2 linked regions of the Tamandua tetradactyla genome follow. The protein of the gene in region 1 purifies or fractionates together with the protein of each later gene. This does not show direct contact. Links are inferred from orthologs where the notes say so. Each region holds a gene or a part of one and is shown on either strand. Other genes may lie near its edges. The genes, in order: LURAP1 and CDC42BPB.

What was found.
Region 2: the proteins of LURAP1 (region 1) and CDC42BPB purify together in Homo sapiens (co-immunoprecipitation; 3 studies listed by BioGRID and IntAct, with this or other methods). This does not show direct contact. The link is inferred for Tamandua tetradactyla from reciprocal best matches to the Homo sapiens genes LURAP1 and CDC42BPB.

Annotation. Positions count from the first base shown.
Region 1 is NC_135328.1:176,645,620-176,655,761, forward strand, and holds the start of LURAP1 (leucine rich adaptor protein 1), read right to left. Parts: upstream 5,092-10,142; 5' UTR 4,663-5,091; coding exon 4,465-4,662; intron 1-4,464. Other genes in the region: POMGNT1 (protein O-linked-mannose beta-1,2-N-acetylglucosaminyltransferase 1), read left to right, coding at 8,837-8,956, 9,561-9,675, 9,779-9,897. UniProt on the Homo sapiens protein: Acts as an activator of the canonical NF-kappa-B pathway and drive the production of pro-inflammatory cytokines. Promotes the antigen (Ag)-presenting and priming function of dendritic cells via the canonical NF-kappa-B pathway.
Region 2 is NC_135338.1:64,934,105-64,944,722, forward strand, and holds the start of CDC42BPB (serine/threonine-protein kinase MRCK beta), read right to left. Parts: upstream 4,859-10,618; 5' UTR 4,782-4,858; coding exon 4,607-4,781; intron 1-4,606. UniProt on the Homo sapiens protein: Serine/threonine-protein kinase which is an important downstream effector of CDC42 and plays a role in the regulation of cytoskeleton reorganization and cell migration. Regulates actin cytoskeletal reorganization via phosphorylation of PPP1R12C and MYL9/MLC2.

The sequences.
Region 1 (10,142 bases):
AACGATCCTAGTGAGTGTGAAGTGGTATCTCATTATAGTTTTGGTTTGCATTTCCCTAATAACTAATAACTAATGATGATGTCTTTTCATGTGCATATTATCCATCTGTATCATTTCTTTGGAGAAATCTCTTTGCAAGTGTTTTGCCCAATTTTTAATTGGGTTCTTTGTCTTTTTGTTGTTGAGTTAATATAATTAGGAGATTTAACCTTTACCAGATATATGATCTAAAACTATATTCTCCCAATCTGTTGGTTGTTTTTTCACTTTCTTGATAATGTCCTTTTCTTTTGTTGCTTCTAATGTCAGTGTTATATCTAATAATCCATTGGTTGTAAATTGTAGCAATTTTCCCCTATGCTTTCTTCTAAAAGTTTATAGTTTTAGCTCTTATATTTAGGTTCTTAATCCAAAAATTAGTTCATTTTTGCATATGGTGTGAGGTAGGGGTCCACTTTCTTTCTCTTTTTTTGCATGTGGATATCCAGTTTTCCCAGCACCATTTGTTGAAGAAATTATTCTTTTCACATTCAGTGGACTTGGCATTTTGTCAAAAATCAATTGGTTATAAATGAGTGAGTTTATTTCTAGACTCCCAATTCTATTCCATTGGTCTAAATATCTGTCCTTATACCTATGCCACATTATTTTGAGTACTTCAGGCTTGTGGTAAATTTTGAAATTGGGAGGTATGAATCCTCTTACTGTTCTTCTTTTTAAAGATGGTTTTGGTTATTTGGAGCCCCTTACCATTTTATGATTGGCTTAGACTATGAGTCTTAAACAGAATGTTTTCATCCACACTCACACTCCCAGTTCCAGAAATATCTGGTGCTTTCAATTCCTGAGACCTCTGAGGTTGCTTTTCAGCTTTTGCCATTGCTGGCTTGGGATTCAGCTTTTTGGGGGGGAGTCTACTAAGTTAGTTACCACTGTTCCTTCTGCTTTTCAGCTTATAACATCTTGTCCCTATCATCGTCTCCTATAATCTTATAAAAGGCTTCATGCCTTTTAAAATAATCCATTTACTAGCTTTTGAGTGGAGTTTCAGAAGGGAAAGTAACAAAATACATGTATTTAATCTGCCACCTTGAACTGGAATTCCCACTGACTTTATCCATTCTTCAGGGCCCTGCTCAAATGCTACTCCTCTAAGAAGTCTTTTCTACCCTTTCCCAACATGGAATGAATCCATTCAGTCATGGAACAAATATTTATTGAGTGTTCCTTATAGGTCTGGTATTGTTTTAGACAAATGAAGAAACACACCCTTTCTTGCCCTCAGAGGGTTCACAGTTTGATGGGTAAGATAAGACATTGAAGCAAGCTCTTAAAATTCAGTGTTATAAAAGCTAGTGGAAATAATTGCTACACAGACAGCTATGGATACCTAGAGACCCATAACCTAGGGGAGGTCAGAAATGGCTTCCTAGGATAAAGGGCATGAGCTGAGACTTGAAGGTTAAGTAGGACTTAGCTAGGTAAAGAGGTGGAGAGGCATCCCACCCAGTGGAAAAAAGAATGTACCCACCTCCAATTCAAAGTGAACTTTCCAGAGCACAAACCCAACCATGCCACTTCTCTGGGTGTTCCAACAGCACCTATCTTTCTGTCCTAGGGTTGCTACTGTCTCCCTCCTTCCCCAATCCAGACTGTAAGTCTCCTAAGAGCAGGTCCTGCCTAAATCAATTCTGGTAGTCTAGGCTTGGATAGATCAGATTCAGTTCTATGATTCTCTTGCCTTTACTATCCTTTGCCCTTCTAGTGGTCCCTAGGGTTCAGTGGGCTGAATTTTGCTGTATTGATGGGAAATGAATCTGAGAAGCAGATTCAAAGATCCTATGACACTGGAATTCCTTGACTGTGACAGCATCAGCCCCAGAATAGAAGGCAAAGGTTTCTTGCCAGAAAAAGAAACTTATTTCATACCATCTCTTTGGAAACAGAGAAGATAAACAGCTCATGAGAGATGAAACCTCAAAGGCTACTCCAACCCAATTCTCTTCCCAGGGAGATTCAGGCTTTCTATCCTTCCTCTCAACATATACACCTCAGGCTCTCTGCCCAGCTCTGGAGTATGCCTCTCTCATTGCTTCATCCAAATCAGGCCTTGGGGTAAAGCCTGGAGCTCCACTCCCCACTTCCAGCTCCTTGATATTGGATTGAGATTCTCAGGCTCTTGTCATTAAAAGGACCCTTAGAGATCATATGGTTCCACACCCCTTTCCACCCCCACCCCCAGGTCCCCAGAAAAATTGAGGCTGAGAAAGGGACAGGGTCCTGCTCAAGATCATAAAGTGATTCAAGAGCGGAGCCAGGACTTGAACCCCTGCCTTCCCCTTCCTTTCCTAAAGCTTTGCCTCAAACTGCTCTGTGGTGGTGGGTTGTCATAGCAACAGTTATTTGGGTGGGAGGACTACGGGGTGGAGAATTGCCATCCCCCCCCCACCTCCCCTACCACCAGCCACAAATATCACTCAACCCCTGAGTGGGGGAGAGAAACCAGAGGGAAGAAACCTAAAGGCAGGGCTGACCTTAACCTCAAGGGCAAGCCTGACTCCTCCCAGCAAGGAGAGCTGGGAGAAGGACAACTGAAGGACAGTCCTTAGAGGGCTTGGCTCAGTCCTGCTACTAGTGGCTCCATGGAGAACCCCCTGTTCCACCACTGTCCTTCCTGGGCCCAAGACAGTGGGCAAGGCAGAGTGCCAGAAGAGATCAATGACATCCTGGCCTGAGGAGGGAGAAAGTAATGGGGTAGGGATCTGTGAGTACATGTAGAGGATCTCTCCTTGTTCTGACCCCTAGAAGGCTCCCTCCCTTGTGCCCTTCACAGGCAGCCTCAGGCCCCAGGTCAGGCTGAGTCAAGAATACAGCAAGAAAAAAAATCAGAAGTTAAATGTATCCCTAAAAAAGTTCACCTTCAAAGGCAGAAAAGAGAGCCAGAGAGACTAGGTACAGCTTCTCCACTGACTTCCTGTGGGAGCTCTCTTAACACCTCCAAGCATATTTCTACATCTGTGAGATGGGGAAAATAATGACTATTTTTCTCACTTCAATGACATAATGTGTTTTAAAGTGTCTGACCCAAAGCAGGTCTTAACGATAAAGATGTAAATTGTAGTCAGATTATCTGGATTCAAATCCTAGCTCTGCTTTTTTACTTTTTGTATGACCTCGGACAGTTCCTTAACCTCTCTGTGCCTCAATTTCTTCATCTATAAATTATTTTCCTCATAAGGCTTTTGTGAGGATTAAGAGAATATATTATAGAGTGTATTTTCAAAGCAGGGTATTCTAAGTAGGCTCTTTCTAGGCCTCAAGCTCCAGTTTGTATGATAAGGCAACACCAGCCCCCACTTAGGTGAGCAGTCACAGTCCTGCTCTAGAGCATTTGGCACTCACCCCCAACCTTCAAGGCCAAGTGCACATTTGGCATTCAAGTGGAGCCTTCCCTGACTGCTCCGCCCACAAGGTTCTCCTCCCAGCCTCTCAGGAAGCCCTGGAGCCCTGGGCTCTCCTCCCTACCTCCCTCACAGCCAGGCCTGGCACAGAGGAGGGCGCACAGTGGGGCTCCAGGAAGACTTATTAGCTGACAAACTCACTGTGAGTTTCTGGTTCTGGGCCAGGGAGCAGCCGGCAATTCCTCAGGTTATTAGAACTGGCTATGAAGTAGTGGCAGGTGTAAATCATTCCCTTCACCTCAGTCTCTTCACCGGAATCAAAGCCCTAGGTGTCCTTTTGGCTCAGAACATCTAGACTGCAGCACCATGGAAGGGGGGGGGTGCCTGTTTCCTCCTTTTCTCCCCAAGGAGGAACAGATGGAATCCAAATATCCAGTGCACCCCCGGGAAGAAGACTAGTCAGGTGAGGAACTGACACTGATGGGTGTGCCTAATCTTTGTCTGCTATGGTTCTGGGAACTTTCAGATATTTTATGCCTGGATGGCAGAATGATTTTAGTGCCCCCTGGTCCTGGCAGTTTTCAGTAGATGTGTGTCTCACCCAAATTTTCTTTTGTACTGAATCCTGTCGTAAACACTTGGGCCTCAACTGAACCAAATTCGGTCCTGGTCCTGAAAAAGCTCCTAGTTTGCAGGGAAGAAGAACCTAGTTGCCCTGTAATGCAACTAGGGGGGGACAGAGGTGTGCAGTGCCAGGTTCTCAGTTGTCTCCCTGCCCTGACCTCCCCACTCCCAATTATTTGGCGGAAAAACTTCCTAGGTTGTGCCTCCCACCTCAAGTCCTGGGAACCCACCAACATCCCACCCACCCTTGGGGGACAATTAATGGAAGTCACCCTACCTCCGCCCCGCGGGTTTTACAGATTAACCTGGGAAGCATCCAGAGGAGTAAGGTGCGGAGTTTTAACTCCTTCCTCTCCAGCCCACTCCGGGGGCGTCAGTCCGTTCTTTCCAGCCCTAAACCGGGGACTCCGACGCCCTGGCCCGTGGAGGTAACACTCACCAGCTCCATCCTCAGCTTCATGATCTTGTCCCCCAAGCCGTGGCCCAAGCTAGGCGCTCCTGGGAGCAGCAGGGCGCCAGCGGTCCCCGGCTCCCACTCGCCTCGCAGCCCGCGGAGAAGCCCTTCAGGGGTCTTCCTGCCCACCTTGCTCTCCACGTCTCGTAGGTCAGGCGTCTGGGACTCTGCGGTCCCCTCCATACGGGCCCAAGCCTGTGCGGGGCTGGGCGACCGGACGCCGGGGTCCCGCTCCCGGGGGTCTTCCTTTCCCCGCCGCCACTGCAGAGCGGAGCAGAACGGGTGGGTCCCCGCCCGCGCGGCGCACAGGCGGAGGAGGGCGCCGTACCGCTCAGAAAAGCCGCGCAGAGCCTTTTCTGAGAGCCGCGCACAGTCTATTCCAGGGCTGCGCACACACCCTCTAGCTCAGGAATGCGCTAGGAGAGCTCAGCGCCTTCTCCCCACTCTGCCACTGAATCTAAACAGGCACACATCAGGCGCCCAGTAAATGTTTGGAGCTTGATGAACAGTGGTAGCAGAGGACTGCAGAGAGTTTTGAAAGGCTTCCTGGGGTAGAAGAGTTGGTAGAAAATAGCGGCTAGAATTTAGCTAATCACTGACACGCGCGGGCACACACATATACACACACCAATTTCAGCTCCTCCTTAGACAGGAGGAGCAGAAACTAAAGTCCTTCTGCCCAGCGGCAGGCAACCAGTGTTGAAGCTTTAGTGCTCTGCATGGGCCAGATCACACCAGATCTTGTAGACTGGTGTTCCCTAAACTTGACCGTTCCTTTGACTCATCTGCGGAGCTTGTTAAAATGCAGATTCTGATTCAGTAAGTCCGAGGTGGGCCCTGAGATTCTTCATTCCTAACACGCTCCTGGTGATGACTATGTTATTGGTCCTAGAACCACACTCTGAGTAGCAAGGTTGTACAAGGCTGTTTTAAGGTGTTTGGATTTTATTCTGTGAGCAATGGAGAACCATAAAAATGTTTTGTTTTGTTTCAGCTTAGTTTAGATTTTGGTTTTTTAATCCAAGTAATTCAGTTCACCGTTACAGAAGGGTTTACAATGAAAAGATAGTTATCCCTGCCTTACCTTTTCCCGCCTCTAGTCCCACTTCCCAGAAGCAACCACTTTTAGCTTTTTTTTTCCTTCTAGTATTTAAATAGGTTTATACCACTGTTTCCGTTTACTAAAGCTGCTGGAATGCAATATACCAGAATGGGTGGGCTTTTTCAGTGGAGATTTATTAAGTTACAAGTTACAATTCTAATGCCATGAAAATGTCCAAATTAAGGCACCAAGAGTTTACCTTCTTGAAGGAAGGGCTGCTGGCATCCGGGGTTCCTATGTCAGGTGGGAAGGCACATGGCAATGTCTTCTGGTCCTTCCCTCTAAAATATCTCTGTGGGTGTTTATTTTCTCTCTTAGCTTCTATTGGCTCTCTCCAGAACTTCTCTCCTTTAAAGAACTCCAGCAAGCTGATTAAGACCCACCTTAAATGGGTGGGGTCACATTTCCATGGAAACAATCTAATCAAAGGTCCCACCCAACAATAAGTCTGCCCCTACAAGAACGGATTAAAATAACATAGGCTTTTCTGGGGTACATAACAGATTTAAACCAGCACAACCCCTCTTTCTTTCTTTTTTTTTTAATTAGAGAAGTTATGGGTTTACAGGAAAATCATGCATAAAATAAAGATCCCCATATACCACCCTGTTATTAACACCTTGCATAAGTATACTACTGGTTCTTGATTTTAAATGTTTGTCTATTGGTTTCCTATTATGGAAAGTATGGATTTAACTCACAATCAGTACTTCCCTTCTGTCACTGGTCCTGTATACTTCATCTAATGGTTACCTTTGTAATTTCACGTAATATATAATTCAGAGGACAGTATCTTTTGACCATGTAAGGGTTTTAAGTCAGAGATTGCAAAAACAGATCTACCTTTTTGAAAAATTATTCTAAATTTCACAAAGAAAAAACATGGGAGTAGTAAAAATCTGGAGTCAAGGAGGCCAGTGGAAAGGCAAGAAACTGAGACCTGGGTTGGTTGAAGAATTAAACCAGAATGGAGGGCTTGTTAGAGATATGATTGACACCACTTGGTGCTGGTTACATTCATTTACTTACGATATAGTCAATAAATTTTTGTTCAAAGAAATGGGTGAATGATTTTAAAAAATATTATGGAGCGCCTACTATGTGCTAGCCATTGTGTGGGGGGCGGAGAATACAGTGTGACCAAAGAGACCCAGAAAGAAAAGAAAGCAAGGGTGACTCCCAGCTGATGTGATTCACCAAAGAAGGGAACTCAAGAAGAAGCCTGGGAGTGGGAGATGATTCCAGCAGGAGTCCTGTGGAGTTGAAGGAATCGACAGAGACGTCCAGCAGGCAGGTGAACCTGGAGGTGAGCATGGAGCTCACGAGAGAGGTTAGGATGATAGCTATGAGTTTGGCAATTTAGATGGTAACAGAGGTCATGGAAATGGGTGATGTCTTCCATGGAGAGTGAGTTTGAGGAGAGAAGAGGATCAGGGAGGAACCAAGCAATAACTTTTTAAAATGCTAATAAAATGTGTTGGGTTTTCTCCTATTGTATTTTATACATATTTATTAGGAAAAGATCACCCATTGCCTCACTCCTAAGACAAGTACTATTAACATTTATGGGATACCATCCCACCATTTGGGAAACAGATGGAATATGGAGAGCTAAAAAAAACACTACTTTTCCAGCTTCCCCTCATATATCGTTTCAAACCATTCTCCACAAAATAGTAAAGGTTCTCTTAGAACATAAATTGTATTATATCACTCGTCTGCTTAAAATTGTTCCATGGCTACCCACTCACTTTGAATAAGCATCACCATCACCTAGAAACTTGATAGAAATGCAAAATCCCACCCTGCCCCCAGACTCCTGAATCAAAAACTCTAGGAATGGAGCCCAGCAATCTGTTTTAACAAGCCCTCCAAGTGATTCTGATGTAAGCTAAAATTTGAGTACCACTGTGTTAGGATATGTACTTTATATGTATTATTTCCTTTAACCTTTACAACTCCTTAAGTACTATTAAAGCCGATGTAGTGCACTGATTAAGAAGGGAATCTGGAGCCAAACCGTCTGGGTTTGAAGCCCAACTCTCCCAGCTCTGTGACACTGGGCATCTTTTAAATAAAGATTTCTTTACAAGGTTGTGATAATGACAGCACCTCCGGGGGCCGTTGTGGGATTAAATAAATTAATATGAGTAAAATGCTGAGAACAGTGACTGGGATAGAGTGACCATCGTATAAATGTATCCCCATATTAAAGAGAAGGGAACCGAGACTCAGAGGTGACCTGACTTGCCTACCAAGGTCAAAGTAAACGATGGAACCAGGTTTTTAATCTAAGTCTCTTTCCTTCGTAACGCCAAACCAGAGTGCAGCCTTCCCCAGGACAGCACAGGCCGGTGAAGGGCTGGATTCCCGGCCGGCAACCCCTGAAACCCTGGGGTATCGTGTGGTCAGGTGCAAAGCGCTAGAACTGTGACTTGAACCGGGTTTCCCACCGAGGAGGGCAGGGGGGGGCGAGCCGCACTGCTTGAGCAGCCCACCCACGCGCCGTGCTGCAAAGCTGCGGAGCGTCTAAACCCGCCACGCGAGAACCAGACACCCGGCCGCCGCCCTAAGCACCGCCCGCCGCCCTCTCACCCCTCAGCGGCGGCGGCGGAAGCAAGGGGGCGGGCCGGGGCGGGGCCGTGCGCGGCATGGAGGAGGCGGAGGCCGCGGCGCGCCGGGCTGAGCTGTGCGGGCCGGAGTCGGGCCCTGGAGGGGCCCGGGCGCCCTGAGCCGTGAGTGTTTCCGGGCGGGGGATCCGGGGTGGGGCGGCGCGGCCGGGTTAGATCTCCTAAACGTTCGGGCGGCTCCGAACCCTGGGCGGAGAAGACTGGGACCAGATAGGAGGGGGTGGAAGACTGGGGGCTCGCTGCCCTTTGCCCACCCCAGGACTGGGAAGGCCTGGGGTTTGCACCTTTCCAGCTACTTAAGAGCTTTCAGGGCCTTGATCTGATCATCTGGCCTCGGCTCCTGGGTCCCTGGGCAGTCCTGACTCAGATAGTTCCCCCAACCTTGGGGAATTTTTCAGATTGAACCTCCCTTAAGGTTTTCCTATCAGACCCAGAGAAGTTAAACCATTTTCCCAGGTCACACAACACAGGTGTTTGCAGGCAAGAGTTGTTGGAAGGCCATTCCCCATCTCCCCAGAAGTCATCAGGCTTTGGGAGGAGTGCCTTACCTCATATAACACTCTGGTCCCCTCAGATTCCTGAAGGCATGGGTTGGCCAGGACAGTGGTGACACCCCCGATCAGGCATGGACGACTGGAAGCCCAGCCCCCTCATCAAGCCCTTTGGGGCTCGGAAGAAGCGGAGCTGGTATCTTACCTGGAAGTATAAACTGACCAACCAGCGGGCCCTGCGGAGGTTCTGTCAGGTATAGGGATGTCCCAAGACCTCCCAGGGGCTCCTTCCCAGCTTTACCCCAGCCTAGAATATGGGCACTGAGACCCACCTTGGCATCCCTCAGCCTGGAAAGGGAACCTCTACGTGTCAAGTTCCCACCAGGTAGTAGACTGGTCCCAGAGTTCAGCTTTGGAATCAGAACCCAACAAGTCCAGTCTCCTAGGCTTCTGACAGAAACTTGAATTTTGATCAGAAGGGCTTTGTCCGGGATCACCTGTCAGGCAGTCAAGGCTGGGACCCAGGTCTTCTGATCCCCAGCTTGGTTTTCTGGGATTGGCTTCACCTCTAGAAACTAACTGTGAAGGGGTTCAAGGAAATCAGAGGCCCCAGATGGAAGAATGCAAGAGGTAGGAAGAGCCATGATGGAGGGAGAAGGGTCAGGGGAGGTTCCCTAAAGGAGCTAGTCATGAAACTGGGTCCCAGTTAGGGGAGTAAAGCTGAACAGACAAGGGAGGGGAGGCAGACTCCAGATTCTCCCTGTATCCTCCTACTGCAGTCAGGGCCCTCCTTTCAGGAAGACCCTCTATGGTCTAGAGGAAGTACCCCTCTTTAGTCGTCTCTACCCCTTCCCTCAGACAGGGGCGGTGCTCTTCCTCCTGGTGACTGTCATCGTCAACATCAAGTTGATTCTGGACACACGGCGAGCAATTAGCGAGGCCAATGAAGACCTGGAGCCAGAGCAAGACTATGGTGGGACCAGGCTGAAGATGGGGTAGGGGGTCCCTTGAGGTCTCATGGATGAGTTGCAGGTAGATCCAGGGGAGACTATTTCTATCACCTTTTGTTCCTTTAGATGAAGCCCTGGGCCGCCTGGAGCCTCCAAGGCGCAGAGGCAGTGGCCCCCGGCGGGTCCTGGATGTGGAGGTATATTCCAGCCGGAGCAAAGTGTATGTGGCAGTGGATGGCACCACGGTGAGTAGAGTGGGATCTGTTGACCAGTCTTTCCATTCTCTTTAGGCCATGGCCCTGTGGCTGTGGTGTTCACTACCTGAGTGGAAACTACATTTCTGCCAGTTTCTAGCTATGCAACTTTGGAGGCCTCAGTTCCTCAACTATAGATTGAGAATAATGATTTTTACTTGCCAGAATTAAATGAGAAGAATGTGAAATGTCTTATATGTAGTTGAATCTCAAAAGTGATCATTAGTATTAGAGAG
Region 2 (10,618 bases), on another chromosome or scaffold:
AGTACCCAAAATAGATGGTTTAAAATCAAGGTGAAGTGTGACCTTTATATCTATTTCATAGGTAGTATCTATTTTATTTGCATGAAAATGAAGTTTTCTCATGTAGATTTGAAGTCCAAATAAATTCTCAAAGGACGGACATGTTTAGTTCATACTGCCAAAACACCTGTGCTTTTAGAGCTAAGAAAAGTGTATTTTCCTTTCATCTGTTTTCATTGAGAGCATCTGTGTGAGCACAAATTTAAGGATACCTTGGAATACTCCCACTCAATAGCCCTTTAAGAATCTAAAAATAAAACTTAAATGTGGACCAGGACTAATAAGTACTATGTAATGGAGGGGTTTAGGATGCTGAGATTATAGGGGTTTTGATTTTTTTTCCCCCAACATTTCTTTTAGTTTTATTTATCCCCCTTTCAATAAAAAGGATAGGAATTTGGATTTGATCTCTTCCAGCAAGACTCTTCTTTATTAGCCTCAGAAGATAATTTTTGCCTCTTCACTGGAGCATTCAGCAATTTCTCCACATTTAATCAGGCTTTGAATTTACAGTTCTGTGTGCTCACTTGTTTGTCCAGCATCACTTATGTCAGCAGAGAGCAGATTTTCGAGGGCATCTGGCTCTGCAGTAAGAGGCAGGGCTAAGGTAGGAAGCAAGAAGAGCTACTGGTCAACCCTACGGCATTCCAAGTTCTTTAACTTGCATGCATTGGAGTAGTTTGATTGAAGAACAATTCCCTGTGCATTAAGAACTTTTTTTGGCAGCTCCATAATAGTATCCTGGGATGAGAACAACTTCATCAACTCTAATTTCACTTATTTAAAGTATGGACTTACAAAGACACTGCAGCCCACTTTAAAACCCAACGTTGATGAGCAAAGTTTTAGGAGAGGAAAGTTAAGGTTGACTTGTTAACGTTTAATAGGTTCAACTCGCCCATCTCACGTCATGTAGCCAATATCAACACACACATCAAACAGCTGGCCATAAAATCAAAATTATGTTAACCTAATCACACGATGCAATTCCAATATTTCTGTACATTCAGAGTTTATTTCAAAAGACCTCTTTCTTCAATCTATTATTTAAAAGAAAATTGCTCCCTTGTTACATAAACATTCTATCTAGAGGAACCATCAAGAGTATAATGTCTTTTGCAATGTTCAGTACCATTAGTAAAACCTTACCCAATAAGTCTGGTAGGGGAACCTCCACAGTCATCCCACACACACCTAAGGCTGGGTATCAGCAGGCCAACAGCCACAGGTGCTTACAAATATGAAGAACTCGGAGAAAGTACTGCTATCTTCATAATAATAAAAACCACAAATGGGGAAATTAAGCAAAAGGCTATCTTCTCATTGTAGAGGAAGGACAGCATGAGGGAAGATGCTGTGGACAGGCGAACGGAGGTCCCATGTTCGACCCACCTCCAAGAGTGTCTGCTCATCGCTGAGCTTCCGCCCAGACTGCTGGCCACATAAGGGGGAGTTTGGGGAAGATGGCTACTGCAATGGGCCCAGGCCTGCAGGCTGGGCTTTCAAGCATCAGCTCCATCCAAACCCAACACAAGCCATTATATCTAAGCTGTGAAAACATATTCAACACATGCAATTTAAAACTATTTCTACATAAGCATGAGAGACAACAAATTCACCTCATTTAGCTGTTCATGGTTACTCCAAATTACTTGAAGAAATTTTAAAATGTTTCAAATATGCTCTGCTTCAAACTGTAACAAATTTACATTTCAAAAAAATAGCTTAAAGAGATACACTTGCAAAGCAGAGTTTTTCCAACTTTTAATTAAAGTCTAGAATTTCAAAGAGGAAACTAATCAAACCATAAACATAATCAAGGGAAAATTAAAGACCAAAACCTGAACAGGAGGCAAGTGAGTCTTGTCCCATACAACTTCTGTGGCAACAAGAAATAAAAGAGCCAGACTAAACAGTCTTCTTTTAAAATTTTAAGACTTTATTAACTATATTTTCCAAAATTCCTCAAAGATTTCCCAGTAAGACTCAAAATCTGGGCTGGCTGACTGCCTTTCTTCCTGAAGTTTCAAGACTTCGACACAATCCCTATTAGACTTGGGGCAAGATTTGGGAAGGGGAAAGAGGCCAGCCCTCTGCATGGCAGGAACCAACATTTCAGAGGTTTCAAACACCAGTGTGGGAATACACAAACTCAACAATCCATGGCTCAATAGGCTATAAACAGATATAGCATGTACAGCTATATCTTCAACCATTTTCATAAGCAAGTGTCAGAAAGTGATTCAGGAACTCCATTGTACTTTGTATTATTTAATTATTAGATGTGCTACCACTATAGGTGGACTCAAAACTATTGCCAGCTGCAAAAATAACAAACTCTATTTTCTTGAGCAGAAATAATCCCACTTAGAAGTCAGGGTATTTAACAATGCTCCACAAACAATTCTATTTTAAAGACAATTCCTTGTCTTCCAATAGCTGTAAGTGGGCGAGTCCAAGTAACACTCAATAATGACTGCACACAGAGCTTAACCAGTAACACACAACCTTAGAGTTACAACAGTGCATGTATGTTAATTATCGTGCGATTAGATACTTTTTCCAAAATATATTAATAGTTCATTTAAATGCCATCTTAAATTTAAGTTCATTCTTCTCTGTAGTTTAAAGCTTACATTTCTGTGCAAACTGATTCTTAGGAGAATAATGTCATTTATTTGTGACCACAATTTCCAAAGATCCAGAACACAATTTTGAAAAACATTTCTATATTACTTCATATATGACAAGCAATACATAGAATATTTCTATATTAGCACAGAAACAGATTAAATTCGGAAAAGCGGCCTCTCACAAAATATGGCTCCCACACCTGCTGACAAGAGTTTCCTCAGCAAAGCCCACCCAGTTCATAGGGGGTACAGTAACAACTGGTGGGAGAGGTGGCTGTTGGTGCAGAGGGTGCCCAGCCTCAGACCAACTCCCAGGCCTGGAGCCAGCCGACCACACCTTACCAGGGAAACCAACCTTCCCCCCAACTTCCTCCTTTTAGTCATGCTTTACTCATATACTGCACCCAGGTTGAACCTGAGTGTGGCTCTGTCTGGATTTCAACATAAAGTGGTCGGAAAGGAATGGCAAACAAGGCTAGGAAGACTCAGAGCATTAGACACACCGAAGCTCTCACTTTCAAAGCAATAGGGGAGGCAGTTAATTATTCAGTTGAAAATCATGGCACTGATGTCCATCAGAACCAGCAAATGGATGCTACTAATTTACTGGTATTCGTGCAACTAAGAACAGGGTCCCTGCTGGAATAAGGGGGCTCTGAGTTATTCTTCTACTGAGGCTCATACAAGAGATTACATCAACCCCCTAGAGAGGGGCAAAAGACAGGAGTCCTCTAGAGAACATGGCAACTTAAGTTTTAATTTGCAAACAAAATACCAAATTCCAGTTACCATTTTGGCAGAGGAGAGGTCTCACTAAGGAATACAGTAGTTTGTTTCTTCATGTGAATATCAGTTTATCAGTACCAAAAATTAGAAATGACTGGTTCAAACTGCACAGTCCTAGCTGGATGATGCAAATGACCTAAGGAGATTATCAGTTTGGCCTGGAACCTAAGTGTTGCCTCCTCCTTCTCAGGTGTTTTGGAGTCAGAGAATGTTCATGTGAGAGATGAAGCAAGAGTTTTTCCCTTTACACTTTGACCAGTCTTTGGGGTCCTAATTATAATTTAGTAGCTTCATTAAATGTTTTTCTAATAAAGTTTTTCTACATAAAGCATAATAGATCCTCAGCAGATTCTTAAATGAATTTGGAACCTGAGGAGACAAAGAACACCAAATGAAGAAAAATTTTAAGTGACTTTCACATACCGACAAACTCAGATATTCCCAAAACATTACACAGGTCTAACACAATTATGATGAAAAAGTTGGTCTATTTTTGCATGTCGGATTCAAAATTAAAATTTTAACCTTAAAATTCCTTTGAAGGTGCTACGTAAAAGGGGTGTTCAGGACTAGGGACACCCAGAAGACGCAGACAGCCTGTCACCTAGGAGCGGACTAACGTCAGGGCTGGGGCCCCAAAAGATGGGGATAGGGGAATCCACCGGGCCGTGGGCGAGACAAATGCAAAAAGCACACGCGGCTATGCCCACCACCCCAGCATGGGGGAGCGAGGCACAACGCTGGCTCTGGACCCCAAAGGCGAGATGGGGGAAGGCGGGGGGCGGATATCCCAGGGTGTGCTGCAGGAAATGATATCCAGACTCGGAGGGTGGATCTAGGAAGCGGACGGGGCGATGGCCCGGCGGGGGGAGGGGTGGGGGTGGGAACGGAGGATGTGGCTCCAAGGGGCAGGATGAGGGGGCGGGTCGGTTGGACGCGGATGTGAGAGGGTGAGGAGGATAGGGAGGGATGAAGAGCGAGCAGAAGGACAAGGGCGCAAAAAGACCAGCGGGGCCGTGGGTCTACGCGGACGGTGCAAGACGCGCAGGGGCCGGGAAGGAAGAGGGATGCGGGGCGCGAAGGGCAGGAGCCCGGTGCAGGGAGGAGGCACCCTAAGGGACGGAGGGTCGGGGCCGGAGCGCACTCACCCCACTCGAGGAACTCGGCCACATACTTGTCGCGACGCAGGGCCGAGTGGCTGCACTCGGTGTACAGGCAGACAAGCACGTCGAGCAGTGTCTCCACGCTCAGGGCGCTCTCGTTGCGCCAGGGCCCGTCGAGGAGTAGCTGCTCCAGCTTCTTGAGCCGCACCTTGGCCGACATGGTGTGGCGCGGCCCGCTCCCAGCGCGCTGGCCTCTCGCCGCCCGCTCGGCCAGTCCGTCAGGGAGAGCCCTCGGGGGTCCTGCGGCCGCGAGACCCGGCCGCACCGGCGCCTCGTCGCCGCCCCGTCCGCGTCGTCGCGCTCCGGCCTAGGCCGACATCTTGGGTTCGGTCCCGGCGGCGCAGCGTCTGGGGCGCCGGGCCCCGCGGGTCCATGGGCCGGTCTCCTCCCCTCCGCGCCGCCGTCCGCCCCACCCGCGCGGCCCGCCCCGCCCTCGCCCCCGCGCGGCCCGCAGCCCCGCCCGCCAGCCGCGCCCCTCCCCACAGGCCCGCCGCGCGCCGCAAATCGGGAGCGGCGCGGAGCCGACAGCTGCGCAAACCCGGTCGGCGCCCGAGCCCCGACCCCAGTCCGGACCCGGCGGCCCAGCCCGCGGCCCGCAGCCAACCAGGGTGCGGCCAGCGCGGGCGCAGCCAACCACAGCGCTGACCTCAGCGCCCCGCCCCGCCCCAGCGCGCCCTGCGCCCGGCGGGTCGGACCTCGCCGCTTGCCGTAGGGAGGCCGGGAAGCTGGGAAGGAAGCGCGGGGGCGGGGGTCGGTGCGGGGAGAGCGGCCGATAGGGGCGGAGCCAGCGGGCGGCCAGTGCGCCGCTGAGATTGCGGAGCCTACGCGTGCGCAGAGAGCGGCCACGAGGGGGCGCGCGGGAGCAGGGAGTGGTACCCGCGCGTGTGCTCGTCTGGGCCCTATTCCCCGCGACTATCCCTCCAGCTCCAGCCTTGCAAGTCCCATACGCGAATGGGATCTCCAAGCTCGGAGAGGCGCGGGCGCGGTCGGAGGCCGATGAACCCCTGGGAAAGGCCGGACGAGCGGCCTCTAGGAGCAGCGATTGAGTTCCAAATCAGGTCCCATCTTCCGACCTGAGGGACCGGAGACTGAAGGCGAGATGGGGCAGGGGTACGGGACAGGCGCGCCCGGGCGACTTCCCCGCGCCCTGTGAATCAGCAGTGGCCATTTCGGCTTCCACCCCTCACGGCCCCGTCCCCGCAAACCCATGCGGGGCCGACGATCTGCCTTGAGGCCGGACTTGCCCCGCTTTTACTGAGATGGTGCTTAATTTCAGTGCCCCTCACCCCCGCAGCGAGCCCTTGACAACAGGAGAGGAGGGCTGCCGGAATTTGAGGGGCTCCCTGAGGCCAGGGGATGAATTGGAGCCGCTGGGGCGGGGGGCGAGTTAACCCTCACTTGAGGAAAGGGGGATCTTTGGAAGGTAGGGGGGGCAGCAGGTGAGGGGGCAGATAGGGCTGTAGAGGCGGGAAGCCAAGGAAACCTGGGGACTCCTCTTGGCTGTGAAGAACAAGAAGTTGCGACCAAACTGTGTGCGGTAATGGGGGTCCAGATTGCAGCAGCCTCTGTGGGGAGGTGTTACTGGAAAGGCAGGAGCAAGCCTTCTAGGCCGCCCGGCATTTTCAGTATCTCGGTTTGGGTGGTGGTTACAGAGCGGTACTCAATAAGCGTTCTTCAGATTGTACTCTTGAGATTAGTGCACTTCGTGGTGTATGTGTTATACCTCACTAAAAAAATAAGGCAAGAACAGTCTTTGGTGATATAAGCCAGAGTATATTTCTTTCGAAGAGATAAGGACTGGAGGGGGTCATGAGGGAGCCTTCTGGGGAAACATTCTTTTTCTTTTTTTTTTTTTTTTATTAATTAAAAAAAATAAACTAACAACATTTAGAAATCATTCCATTCTACATATGCAATCAGTAATTCTTAATATCATCACATAGATGTATGATCATCATTTCTTAGTACATATGCATCGATTTAGAAAAAGAAATAGCAAGACAACAGGAAAAGAAATAAAATGATAATATAGAGAAAAAATAAAAATAAAAATAAAAAATACAAAAATATATAAGAAAAAAACTATAGTTCAGATGCAGCTTCATTCAGTGTTTTAACATAATTACATTGCAATTAGGTAGTATTGTGCTGTCCATTTTTTTTTTAGAAATCATACCATTCTACATATGCAATCAGTAATTCTTAACATCATCACATAGATGCATGATCATCGTTTCTTAGTACATTTGCATCGGTTTAGAAGAACTAGCAATATAACCAAAAAAGATATAGAATGTTAATATAGAGAAAAAAAATAAAAGTAATAATAGTAAGAACAAAACAAAACAAAACAAAAACCTATAGCTTGGATGCAGCTTCATTCAGTGTTTTAACATGATTACTTTACAATTAGGTATTATTGTGCTGTCCATTTTTGAGTTTTTGTATCTAGTCCTACTGCACAGTCTGTATCCCATCAGCTCCAATTACCCATTATCTTACCCTGTTTCTAACTCCTGCTGAACTCTGTTACCAATGACATATTCCAAGTTTATTCTCGAGTGTCGATTCACATCATTGGGACCATACAGTATTTGTCTTTTAGTTTTTGGCTAGACTCACTCAGCATAATGTTCTCTAGGTCCATCCATGTTATTACATGCTTCATAAATTTATTCTGTCTTAAAGCTGCATAATATTCCATCGTATGTATATACCACAGTTTGTTTAGCCACTCGTCTGTTGATGGACATTTTGGCTGTTTCCATCTCTTTGCAATTGTAAATAACGCTGCTATAAACATTGGTGTACAAATGTCCGTTTGAGTTTTTGCCCTTAATTCTTTTGAGTAGATTCCCAGCAATGGTATTGCTGGGTCGTATGGCAATTCTATATTCAGCTTTTTGAGGAACCGCCAAACTGCCTTCCACAGTGGTTGCACCCTTTGACATTCCCACCAACAGTGGATAAGTGTGCCTCTTTCACCGCATCCTCTCCAGCACTTGTCATTTTCTGTTTTGTTGATAATGGCCATTCTGGTGGGTGTGAGATGATATCTCATTGTGGTTTTGATTTGCATTTCTCTAATGGCCAGGGACATTGAGCATCTCTCATGTGCCTTTTGGCCATTTGTATTTCCTCCTCTGAGAGGTGTCTATTCAAGTCTTTTTCCCATTTTGTAATTGGGTTGGCTGTCTTTTTGTTGTTGAGTTGAACAATCTCTTTATAAATTCTGGATACTAGACCTTTATCTGATATGTCGTTTCCAAATATTGATTCCCATTGTGTAGGCTGTCTTTCTACTTTCTTGATGAAGTTCTTTGATGCACGAAAGTGTTTAATTTTGAGGAGCTCCCATTTATTTATTTCGTTCTTCAGTGCTCTTAAGAATTAAGGGCAAAAACTCAAACGGACATTTGTACACCAATGTTTATAGCAGCGTTATTTACAATTGCAAAGAGATGGAAACAGCCAAAATGTCCATCAACAGACGAGTGGCTAAACAAACTGTGGTATTTAAGGCTTTAGGTTTAAGGTCCATAAAACTGCCTCCAATTGTAAGATTCATAAGATATCTCCCTACATTTTCCTCTAACTGTTTTATGGTCTTAGACCTAATGTTTAGATCTTTGATCCATTTTGAGTTAACTTTTGTGTAGGGTGGGAGATACAGGTCTTCTTTCATTCTTTTGCATATGGATATCCAGTTCTCTAGGCACCATTTATTGAAGAGACTGTTCTGTCCCAGGTGAGTTGGCTTGACTGCCTTATCAAAGATCAAATGTCCATAGATGAGAGCGTCTATATCTGAGCACTCTATTCGATTCCATTGGTCGATATATCTATCTTTATGCCAATACCATGCTGTTTTGACCACTGTGGCTTCATAATATGCCTTAAAGTCAGGCAGCGCGAGACCTCCAGCTTCGTTTTTGTTCCTCAAGATGTTTTTAGCAATTCGGGGCACCCTGCCCTTCCAGATAAATTTGCTTATTGGTTTTTCTATTTCTGAAAAATAAGTTGTTGGGATTTTGATTGGTATGGCATTGAATCTGTAAATCAATTTAGGTAGGATTGACATCTTAACTATATTTAGTCTTCCAATCCATGAACACGGTATGCCCTTCCATCTATTTAGGTCTTCTGTGATTTCTTTTAGTAGTTTTTTGTAGTTTTCTTTATATAGGTTTTTTGTCTCTTTAGTTAAATTTATTCCTAGGTCTTTTATTCTTTTAGTTGCAATTGTAAATGGGATTCGTTTCTTGACTTCCCCCTCCGCTTGTTCATTGCTAGTGTATAGAAATGCTACAGATTTTTGAATGTTGATCTTGTAACCCGCTACTTTGCTGTACTCATTTATTAGCTCTAGTAGTTTTGTTGTGGATTTTTGCGGGTTTTCGACGTATAGTATCATATCGTCTGCAAACAGTGATAGTTTTACTTCTTCCTTTCCAATTTTGATGCCTTGTATTTCTTTTTCTTGTCTAATTGCTCTGGCTAGAACCTCCAACACAATGTTGAATAATAGTGGTGATAGTGGGCATCCTTGTCTTGTTCCTGATCTTAGGGGGAAAGTTTTCAGTTTTTCCCCGTTGAGGATGATATTAGCTGTGGGTTTTTCATATATTCCCTCTATCATTTTAAGGAAGTTCCCTTGTATTCCTAACTTTTGAAGTGTTTTCAACAGGAAAGGATGTTGAATCTTGTCAAATGCCTTCTCTGCATCAATTGAGATGATCATGTGATTTTTCTGCTTTGATTTGTTGATATGGTGTATTACATTAATTGATTTTCTTATGTTGAACCATCCTTGCATACCTGGGATGAATCCTACTTGGTCATGATGTATAATTCTTTTAATGTGTTGTTGGATACGATTTGCTAGAATTTTATTGAGGATTTTTGCATCTATATTCATTAGAAGGATTGGCCTGTAGTTTTCTTTTTTTGTAATATCTTTGCCTGGTTTTGGTATGAGGGTGATGTGGGCTTCATAGAATGAATTAGGCAGTTTCCCCTCCGCTTCGGTTTTTTTGAAGAGTTTGAGGAGAGCTGGTACTAATTCTTTCTGGAATGTTTGATAGAATTCACATGTGAAGCCTTCTGGTCCTGGACTTTTCTTTTTAGGAAGCTTTTGAATGACTGATTCAATTTCTTTACTTGTGATTGGTTTGTTGAGGTCATCTATGTCTTCTTGAGTCAAAGTTGGTTGTTCATGTCTTTCCAGGAACCCGTCCATTTCATCTAAATTGTTGTATTTATTAGCGTAAAGTTGTTCATAGTATCCTGTTATTACCTCCTTTATTTCTGTGAGGTCAGTAGTTATGTCTCCTCTTCCATTTCTGATCTTATTTGTTTGCATCCTCTCTCTTCTTCTTTTTGTCAATCTTGCTAAGGGCCCATCAATCTTATTGATTTTCTCATAGAACCAACTTCTGGCCTTAATGATTTTCTCTATTGTTTTCATGTTTTCAATTTCATTTATTTCTGCTCTAATCTTTGTTATTTCTTTCCTTTTGCTTGCTTTGGGATTAGTTTGCTGTTCTTTCTCCAGTTCTTCCAAATGGATAGTTAATTCCTGAATTTTTGCCTTTTCTTCTTTTCTGATATAGGCATTTAGGGCAATAAATTCCCCTCTTAGCACTGCCTTTGCTGCGTCCCATAAGTTTTTTTTTTTTTTTTTTTTTTTAGTATTGTGCTGTCCATTTCTGAGTTTTTATATCCAGTCCCGTTGTACAGTCTGTATCCCTTCAGCTCCAATTACCCCTTCTCTTTTTTTTTTTTTTTTAATTAACGGAAAAAAAGAAATTAACCCAACATTTAGAGATCATACCATTCTACACATGCAATCATTAATTCTTAACATCATCACATAGATGCATGATCATCATTTCTTAGTACATTTGCATTGGTTTAGAAGAACTAGCAACATAACCGAAAAAGATATAGAATGTTAATATAGAGAAAAAAATAAAAGTAATAATAGTAAAATCAAAA